Linked DNA regions of Yarrowia lipolytica. The protein of the gene in region 1 interacts with the protein of each later gene in a pairwise test. Links are inferred from orthologs where the notes say so. Each region holds a gene or a part of one and is shown on either strand. Other genes may lie near its edges.

The links.
Region 2: the proteins of YALI1_B06028g (region 1) and YALI1_E04033g interact in a two-hybrid assay, tested with the Schizosaccharomyces pombe proteins (2 studies listed by BioGRID). The link is inferred for Yarrowia lipolytica from reciprocal best matches to the Schizosaccharomyces pombe genes rng2 and cdc4.

The regions. Positions count from the first base shown.
Region 1 is NC_090771.1:600,807-608,118, reverse strand, and holds YALI1_B06028g (uncharacterized protein), read right to left. Parts: upstream 5,309-7,312; coding exon 4,965-5,308; intron 4,650-4,964; coding exon 551-4,649; downstream 1-550. Other genes in the region: YALI1_B06015g (uncharacterized protein), read left to right, coding at 6,608-7,222. UniProt on the Schizosaccharomyces pombe protein: Component of the contractile F-actin ring; required for its construction following assembly of F-actin at the division site.
Region 2 is NC_090774.1:401,795-404,907, forward strand, and holds YALI1_E04033g (uncharacterized protein), read left to right. Parts: upstream 1-1,560; coding exon 1,561-1,738; intron 1,739-2,123; coding exon 2,124-2,389; downstream 2,390-3,113. Other genes in the region: YALI1_E04023g (uncharacterized protein), read right to left, coding at 1-579; YALI1_E04060g (uncharacterized protein), read right to left, coding at 2,556-3,113. UniProt on the Schizosaccharomyces pombe protein: Involved in cytokinesis. Required for the formation and function of the contractile ring.

The DNA of each region.
Region 1 (7,312 bases):
CCATATGTACAGTATGTATATAGACATGTTGCTGTTTTGGATCTTGCAATGAGGTTAGAATGGAATATAGAGCTCATAGACCAAAGTGGAGTTGATAGAAATGACAAAAACCTCTGATATATCTGGAATCCCAACTTTTCCTGTTTACCTGAGTCCCATCAATGCTCCTTTCAAGTGCCGTGTCAATCCGGGCATCGTACGTTGAACCTGACAGGTGCTAGAGATGGTACGAGCAGCCTTACTGGAGAAGAGAACTGCCGGTCAATCTACCTACATGAGCCCAAAGGGAACACGTGAACTTTTCTGTCTGTCAAAATACTTTCCAAGACAGTCATGTAACCCGCAACATCTCTGGTCTGTGTGGACCTTCTTGGACTTCCCTCGCTCCTGCCTGATACTGAACGGAAACAACTAAGACCAAGCAAACGATTTCTACCTGACCCCATTCGCCCCTCGATGGTCATATCTACATCCAATCTCGGTACTTGTAACAATAACATTAAGGGTATGGTGATATGTAAAAGGCGCTTCCCGCCGTGTCGTGCGAGGTCTAGTTGTCGCGGTAAAACTTTCTGAAAATGAAATGAAGCAGCAAGTTGGTGTTCATCTTGACCATGTCGTCAAACAGGTTGACCAGCTGCTGGTTGTTGTACTGCTGTGACAGCAGATCGTCGAGAGTCAGAGTGGTGGTGGCTCCAGGAAGAGCAATGCCGCCGTAGGCAGCCTCCACTGTAAAAACTCCAACCTCGTCGGACGAAAAGGTGAACATGACCTTGTCCTGGGCCTTGTCCTGGTATCCGTTGAGCTCCACAAGAATTCCCTTCTGCATCAGAGCCTGAGCAGAGTAGACAAAAGAGCCAAACTTGGGCACCTTGCCAGACTTTTGCAGCTCTCTCTGATGGAAGTACTGCTTGGTAAAGGGCAGAACAAGACCCTTTCGCTTGCCCTTCTTGGTCTGAAGAGTCGCCATGGCCTGCTCGATGTAGTCATTGTAGTTCTTGAGCTGCAACTGCAGGTAGGCTTCCTTCTCCGACAGGCCCTGGAGAGTTAGAGCAATAGAATCCAGCTCCGCATGTCGAGCAAGACGTCGGTTCTTCTTCGTCTTGATATCCTGCGCAATGGAGTTGACAATCTCCTGGTAGTTGTTGGCTCGGGAAATCTTCCCAAGAGTCTCCAGCTCAATCACCTTCTCCAGAGACAGCAGCTTGAGGTCTCTGTAGGTCATCTGGGAGAACTGGTGCTCCGAGGGCGAGTTACAGAGTCGGTGGAGCGACCGCGACGACTGCGACGAAGATGTGCTCTTGGTCATCTGCTCTTCAGATTCCCGCTTTCGTCTCTCAATAGCCTCCTCGGTCAGAATGGCTCTGTATTTGTCCTCATGAGACTGGTTGACAGGAGCCAGCAGAATATCCAGAAGAGAGGCACCGGTCTGGACTCGAATCACGTACAACAGGTACCGTTTCGTTTCGACCAGCATGGTATTGTAGGCCGATTCAGAGTCGTCTCCCTTGGCGAAAATGGGGTTCAGATCCAGCTTGACTTCGGTGAATCGAGCCATGTTGAGCACCTCGGTAGCTGAAGACGGCAGAGCTCCCATATCGGTGACCACCTCTCGAAGAGGATCCTTGGCATCAGGAGCCACGGTCTCGATTTCTCTGCAGATGAGATTGTGAATGACAAAAATGTCGTTGGTTCGCAGGAACAAAGTAGGACGCTTGGTGGCCGTCACATCGTCAGTCGTGGAAGTCTCATAGTACTGCTCCGGGTCACAGACGTCAACAACAAGTTTGAGCATGGCCCGAACTCGAGGCTGGGTCTGCTTGATGTAATCGTTGAGAGGCTGGAGGTAGACGTTCTCCCGTGAGAAAAGCCGAAGAGACGCAATCTGGGCCAGCATCTTGGCCACCTCGCCGAGGTTTCGTCGCTGAGCAGGTCCAATGGCAGACTCACACACTCCATAGTCGTCAGGAGCAACAATGGGAGGAATGACAAACAGAGAGACAAGAACGACTCCAATCACGGCCAGGTGGCGATCCTCAGACTCGTGGGGGAACGTCTTCTGCACAGATCGGTAACACTCTCGGGCAACGTATCGCACATGGTAGGGCAGTTGAAGAACAGATGATTCGATGGTATGCAAAAACTCGGAGGTGAGCTCTCGAAGACGCTGCAGGTTGGCAATGAACGTCTGTCGAGTCTCGGGGTCCTGGATAGCCTCATCTACAGGTAGGTTGGGGTCACGTGCAGAAGTTCGGCCACTGGCTAGCTCCTCCTGGTTGATCAAAGATCGGTAGATGGCAATGGGGTCGCTCTCGAGGTCCAGCATGTGCTGGTCAACAACGGTGCTTACGTGAGGGCCGAGAAGAGACTTGAGCAGCTTCTTGGGAGCAGCTCCTCGGTTGAGTGCCGCAAACAGACGCTGCCACATGTGCTTGTCTCGGACCATGTTCTTGGACGCGTCCAACGTGGAAATGTGAGCTGCCGCCGATCGCGAAATCAGCTTCAACAGAAAAAACTCTTCTCGGCGTCTCTGAGCATGTGCAAAAATGTTCATGGTCAGCGTCTCCACGTTCTTCATGTCCTTTTCTGGAGTGGAGGAGATTCGACCAAACAACCGGGTCAAGTAAGTTGGCCGTGTCTGAAGAAGGTAAAAGAAACCCTGGTAGAGCTCAAGACGGTGCCTTGAGGTTTTGTTGAGTGCCTTGAGGTTGAAAACGTCGCCATTGTCAATCTGAGGAACCGCAACACCCTTATTTCGAGTTCGAATGAGCTCATCCAAGGTGATCTTGTTCTTCACAAGCAGTGCAATCTTAACGTCCAGGTTCTGAATGAACTGCTCCAGCTGCTCATTCTTATGTACCTCGTCGGACACCTGCTTTCGCTGCTTCTCTAAAGTCACTTCCTCCTCGAAATCAAAGTCAGAGTCGTTTAGAAGATGCACAAACTTCTTGACAGTCGACAGAGGAGGGTCTGGAGAAGAAACCAGCGACTTGTAGGCATCTCCCTGGGTTCGGGCTCGCAAGTACGACTGGATCTTGATCACCTTGTCCATGTTTCGGTGGAAATGAGCCATTCGATCATTGTGTTTGGTTCGAACAAGTGCTGCTCGACATGCGGCCTGCAGCATAATGATACTGGGCTCCTCGTCAAGGAACTCTTCGATCATGAGAGAGTAATCGAAACGGGCAAGAACACCCCAAATGACCGTCTGCAGCTTGGTGACGGAAGAAGAAGCTCTATCCAGCCGCTCATGGAACCGAGCAAGCTGGTTTCGAACAATTCCAGCACGTACCGCGCTCTGGAGAGTCAGAACAGCTCCATGTTGACCGTTCAACACAGCCATCTTCTCGTTGATTACGTTTCGGACCAATCCTCCTCGAGCAGCGCACTGCAGCTCGCAAACGTCCTCAGAGATAGCTCTCAAAGCAGCCCTCTTGGCACCGACCTCCTGTCTCACCATCCATCCTCTGATCAACGACTGCAATTCAATCACTCCAGAAGACATGTCCAGCATGTGATTGGAGGTGGAAATGGTGGAAGACCGGACTTGAGAGCCTCTAATGACGCTCTGGAGGGTTGTGATTGCATGGGACTCGGATTGTAGAGCTCGAGCGATGTTGTCAAGCTCCTCTCGAACCGAATTTCCTCTGGAAATCGCCTGAAGCTCAGAAATAGCGTCACAACAGTTGCCCAACTCAGCCTTGGTCTTCAAAATAGCTCTTCTGACAACAGAACCTCGAATGATAGATTGAAGAGTGGTCACGTCGCCCAAATCACGTGACGACGTCTGTCGAACGACGCCTGCACGCACCTTGTTGCCCCTAGCAACAGACTGAAGGGTGACAATCTGAGACTCGGCAAAGGAGAGTCGATCGAGTGTCTTTTGGAACTGCTTTCTCGACAAATAACCTCTCAGAAGAGCCTGGACCTTAGTGACGTCGGAGGAAGATCTTGAGACCGCTCCCTGTTGAACCACAAAGGTTTGTCGGGGTCCCAGAGCTCTGATCAGAGATTGGAGAGCAATAATGGACTGTTCAGCCTCCTTGAGCTGTCTTTTGGTATCGTTGAACTCCCTTCTGGCGAGGTAACCAAAGCACAGAGACTGTAGTTCCTCAATATTGTCGTTGGCCTCGCACAATTCTCGGACCATGATTTCCTCCTCGCTCTCCTCGGGTTCCACGTGCTCCGGCTCGGGAGTCTGTTCCTCCATGCCGAGCTCCTTGTTCATGGACGAGAAATTGGGCATGCGGACACCGAGATTGTCGAGGCCACGTTGTGTTCGGGCGAGCTCTTCGTCTGAGAACTCCAGCTTACCCACGAGGTTGCTCATGGGAGGAGCCACACCCTCGACGTAGAGGGCGTAGGCAATGGCGTGAATTGTGTAGATGACTCGAGGGATGTTCTTTTTCTCGTAGAGATCGGTGAGTTCGAAAGTGAAGAGATCGGGCATGCCGAGCTCGGAAACCAGGGCGAAAAAGTAGTTGATGTTTTCCGAGTGTCGAAATTGAAGGCCGGGTCCCTCGTAGATTCGTTTGACAAGGTGTGGAGCGACAGCCTGGGTCACTTTGGCGAGCGCAATACCGTTACGAAGGTAGTCTTCGAGTTGGACAACGGGAGGAAGAGTCATCTGGGTGACTTCTTCAATCCATCTGAGTTAGTACAAGTTCCACGGGAGTGGTGATGTTAGGAAGGTCAGAAGTAACAGAAGGAACAGACAGATTGGAATTGTTATCAGGTGGATTTGGGGCACTGGAGGGGCAAAAACGGTGTGGTTTATCCATGTCTCTGTCGATTGACATCAAATATACGTCCACCTGTAAGGGATCTAGCCACGAGCGACTGGTTCACTGTCACTCCATCAGATGCGCTCAAATTCGCTCCCCCCTCCAAACCCACTCCACCATCCCACTTACTTCAGTCACATTCGCTTCGCTCATGCGACTTGGACTTTGCCCATAACTCACTCTTTGCACGCCCCCACATAGCACAAATACTCATAGGCAGCCAGGTTTTTTCGCTGCATGTCCATCCAGTTGTGTTTCTCGTCCTCCAGCTTCATCAACCGTACCCGGCCCTGCAGACCAATCACGTCTTCCTGGTCCACCGTCACGCCCGGCAGACGCAGGTTTTCAATGTCGTTGTTGGCGAGGTTGCGGAAATGGCTGGTCGACGACGACTTTAGAATCTTTTGGTTCCTCAGCGTGCCCGAGTTGATTCGGGCGTTGGACCGCGGTCGTAGCGGTTGTGGAGGCGCCTCGGCCCCCCCCAGCGTCTCCAAGTAGCGGCTTGCCACTCCCTTTTTGACCATGGCTGAGATGTGTACTGAATTGGCTAATTAACGCGGTCGTCGAGCGGGTGGTAGTTGTGTCGGTTCCGTAGATGGAGATGTTGCAAACCTTGACCGCTTGTTTTTTGGTAAACATGCACCTCTCCTATTATCACAACCTACTTTCCCGAAACGGCAACGTCCAAACAGACTGTAGCGAGGGCAATAAAGTTGCACCCCAAATGAAGATAATAATAACAACCGTGCATGGTCACGAGAACCAGGACGTAAATAGCGAGCGAGGCTGGGTGGTCACGTGACGGAGAAGACGAGAATCCGGGTGTTTGTAGGTATCTCCGGGTGTCTCCGGGTGTCTCCGGGTGTCTCTGGGTGTCTCTGGGTGTCTCCGGGTGTCTCCGGGTGTTTCACTCTCTTCCGTTGATCTTGATCTTGACCATCTCCTCTGTAGATCGAGATGAGCGTGAATTTTGGCTCTGCGACGGGGCTCAAAAGAGCTCGGATATCGCTCGATATCAACCTTGTCGGTCGTCGGATTTCGGACATGTTGCGGTGTTTCTTTGGCACGTTTTGGTTGGTTTCGGACGTGTTTCTTTGGCGCGTTGTTGGAGCCTCTTGTTAGGCATTAAACAGAGCCATAGATATATCTATTAAAAATTCTCTGATTAAATTATAATTTTTTATTTTGAAAAATAAACATGATCACAGCAAAGTTCCCAAAACCTGTTTTGAGTGGCTAATAAGCCCATTACTGGTGGAACTGACTGTATATATACAAGTAGATACTCTGAGACGGATGATTCTCTACCCTTTGTCCACCGTCAATCCCACAATTTGGGAGCTTGTTTTTTTATGTTTTGTTGATAATTTGTGAATTCTTGGTTAATGTTTTGTTAATGTTTTGTTGATAATTTGTTAATAATTTGCTGATAATTTGCTAACAATTTGTTAATAATGTTAATTTGTTGATAATTTGTTAATTTTTGCTATTAATTCGTTAATAATTTGTCAATAATTTGTTAATACTTGGTTAATGATTTGTTAATAATTTGCTATTAATTCGTTAATACTTTGTCAATAATTTGTTAATACTCTGCTGATACGATTTCTATTTTAATTCGGTTTACTAAAGACCCAAAACACAACATAAATAGTCCAAAATGGACAACGCCCGCTGACCAAACCCCCCAGAAATATTTCTGTTCCTCCTCCATTCACGTCGTAAAGTTCATGCATCAAAATCACAACCTCCTATTTTCAGTTTGACTTGATCATCACCACTACACACAAGATCACCACACGGCACCCAATACACTACACGCCATGCCACCCCCAGAAAAGCTCCATTTGACGGCCCAAGACGCGCGATATCTCCGAGACGAGTTTTCCTCGGCCGTGGACCAGAAAACGTCGCTGCATTTGCCCGGAAACGACCCCACCGACCCGCTCATCCTGCGCGTAAAACAACTTGTGTCGGAGTTCGTCACAGAAACCATGCAACTGTCGCGACACGCGTTGGTCGTGGACGGCGCGGAGATGGGACGGGTGAACTCCATCGACGCGCATCTGCGTGAGTCCACCGAGCACATTGAGCCGTTTGACATGGGTTTAGCTGAGGAGCTGAGACGGGTGTACGCCGAGGTTGACGAGACAACTGTGCGGTTGAGCGAGATGCGCAAGAATGTTCCCAAGGTCATTTCTGAACTATACAAACAGGCTGAAGTCAACTGCGCCGACATTGGCCAACCTACTGAGGAAGGAGTGACATTGGAAGCGGTGCTGGAGGAACTGCCTCCTGTCGAAGAGCTCAATGAGGAGGACAGAGAGACGCTGAGGCAGTCATTGCTGGAAATTAAGCGCCTGAGAGGAGCTGTTCCAGAAACCCATACGAGATTGGAGGAGCTCGGCAAGGTGAAGGAGGTTGTCGGAGGGCTTTGAGAGAGACCATACAATTGCGCTATCCGTTTTGACAGCATTAGCTGGAGCTGACGCGTGTCTACAAGACATAATAGGAAACTTGCTTGGAAG
Region 2 (3,113 bases), on another chromosome or scaffold:
TGTCCGAAGATCCGAAATCATGAGGGCAGCATCGTCTCCACCAGACATGACCAAGTTGGGGAACTCGTCTCCTCCAAAAGACGAAATCCAAGCTTCCAAAGAGTGCTCATGCAGCGAGCGGTCGATCTTGAGCTCGGAGTCTGAGATACGAATGAGAACAACCTCACCGGAAGTTAGAGTGGCTACCATGAGATCATTGAAAGTGGGACTGAACGTGATAGAGAGCACAAGCAGCGACTCATCAAAGAGCTGGTAGGACTTCTGCTGAGTCAGCTCAGAACCGTCCCACCTCCATGTGATGATGTTTCCGGTACTTTGACTGGTGCAGATGAAAGAGTGGTCGAAGGGGCTAATCTTGAGGTCCAAGATTGATGAGTTTGTTCGGCAGCTCTGCTGCAGTTTCAGCTGGTCGTCTTCAAGCTTGTAGACATCGACCGTACCATTTCGACTTCGGTCGTCCTCCAGCTTGTAAGTGGCCACAAAGATGATAGATGCATCATCAGGTTGAATCTGGATGGCACATGGTGGCAGATCGGTGATTGCAGACGTTATAGTGCACTTGTTGCTGTGGTCCTCCATTTAGTGTTCACGGAGGAGAAAAAAAAATAATTAAGGTGCGATTATGCATGAATGCGCTTATAGACCTGCTCACGAAATTGAGAAGGGGATCTACTACTTGTACTTGTAGTAATTTTACGAATGTGCTTTTGTATTGTAGCAGACAAGATGACTGAATCCGGCAAGATAATGAGCTACTCAAAAACGAAAAATTAGGACGGCACCATGTGACTGACTGACATCTCACAGACCATCGCTGGAAAGAGAGACCGTTATTATATACAGCGCCTCTCACATACATCGGCTGTGTCTCTTGTATCGTACAGTAGCCTGTCTAATTAACGTGATTATGTACAGCCCAAGTATCGTACAAGTACACAGATCAGTCAGTTGATCAAGAAAAGGGGCTAACAGGGCCGAGAATGATTGAAGCTACAGTCTTGGTGAGTTCACCCCTTGACTCCTATTTTTTATCATTAGGCTGTTTTACGGGATTCGTATCAAGATGTCATTTGCTGAGACCTATTCCCAATTGTATTATCTCTTCACAGCCCATGAACCTACAGCACCATAACGACACACCCCTGCCTACAGTAAAGGGTAGCTACCGGTAATAAATGGTAAAAATTCATGCTCTCGGCTGTGCAGGCCAGTCTCCATGGCGACAAGAGATCCGCGCTAAAAATACAACTCGTGTTTGATGGTGGATTCAACCCGAATAATGGAGGCAACCACTCGTGACAGCGTCTGAATACCAATGTACATTTTCAAATCTCTCTATAGGACTCACTCTACGAAGGGTTCAGTAACACGATAGACACACGCACTCACGTGTCCAAAGCTTGAATCTTAGGGTTAGGTCAAGTTTATTTGCGGTTTGTTTATGTTTGTGTACATTGGGAATAGGAGACGGGACAGAACGCATCAACACAAACTACACACAAAAATATTACAAATGGTGAGTTCAGAAATGAGAGACTTGTTGCACTCTTTCAAATCATCATGGCACCACTAACAAAGTCGCAAAACTCCAAATCTTTCAAGGACGCCTTTTCCCTGTTCGACAAGAAGGGCACCGGCAAGATTCCTGCTGAAGCTCTCGGTGATCTTCTCAGAGCTGTGGGCCAGAACCCCACCCTCGCTGAGATTGATGATCTGAAGCAGACCATTCCCGCTGAGTGTGAGTATACTACAGATATTTTCAAGCATCTAGGTGATGGGCCGATAATGGAACACGGTGTGGTGTGTGAGACGATGAACCGAAACATGTCACGGTCCAGCGAAATGCAACTGCGATAAATTGGGCGGTTTCAACGTGTTGGGGTATAGATTCGAGGAACCCGTATCACTTATATCGTGATCACAACGTGTTTGGATCTCTCGTGACAGAAACTTGCCCGTCAAGGGATGTTCCGGTGATTGATTCCTTCATTAAGGTCGTTAAACGGTAACCTCGAAGCGATCACATAAGTCTCTATGACGACAGGGGAGATGGGGTATGCCTAGATTCGCTCTTTCACACCTCTACCAGCATAAATCCACCCCCTCCATCAGCACTAACACAGTCGACTACGAGACCTTCTCCAAGATCGTCAACCGACCAAGCGGTTTCAAGTCTCTCGGTGAGCCCGAGGATTACATCCGGGGATTCCAGGTGTTCGACAAGGACTCCACTGGGTTCGTGGGTGTCGGCGAGATGCGATACATCCTTACCTCGCTGGGCGAGAAGATGTCTGATTCCGAGGTTGATGAGCTCCTTAAGGGAGTCAACGTTACTCGAGACGGCAACGTCAACTACGTTGACTTCGTCAAGTCCATTCTGGCCCAGTAGATACCTAATATATTTTTTATGTTTGAGCGATTCCCATCCGTAGCTACTTGTACTGGTGACAATGTCTTTGAAAGTGTCGTATTGTTTTACATAGATCATAACAGTGAAATAAATAGCTTATATATATAAATTAAGCAACCTGTTGCCGAAGTATCTCGTTGGAATATCAACTCAAGATGGGCAGGAAGTTGCCAACAATCATCATGGGGTTGCCAAAGACATCCCGTTTTAGGGTCCAGATACTGGATGTTTTGATTTTAGCACCGGTCGGTGTAAGTAGTGTACAGTCGGCCATAGTAGCTCCTCTTGAGTCTCCAAAAGCGATTCGAGAAAAGAGCTCAAAGTACTCGAGGACAGAATTGTCGTCCAGCAGCTCTACGATGAAGGTCTGCTGACCAATGAGACGCTGTTCAGACCAACCCGAGAGCTGACAGAACTCTTTTCCAACAGCAGCTAGTTGACCAGTACGTCTCCAGACAAGAGTGGGGGTTCCAGAAAACGAAATAAACTTTTGATACTCTAGGAGGGCTCGCTGGAAGCATTGTTCCATGAACACCAGGTCCTCCTCTTTCAGCGAGTTGGTACAGGCAATAAAAGAGGGTCTGTATTCAGCCATATACTTAGTCATCTGGACGAGCTGCTGTTTGTTGAAACGGCCTTTCAGATAAGAAATGAGTCCATGGTATCCAGGAGTGTAGCTGAATGGCTTTGTGATGTTAGTATA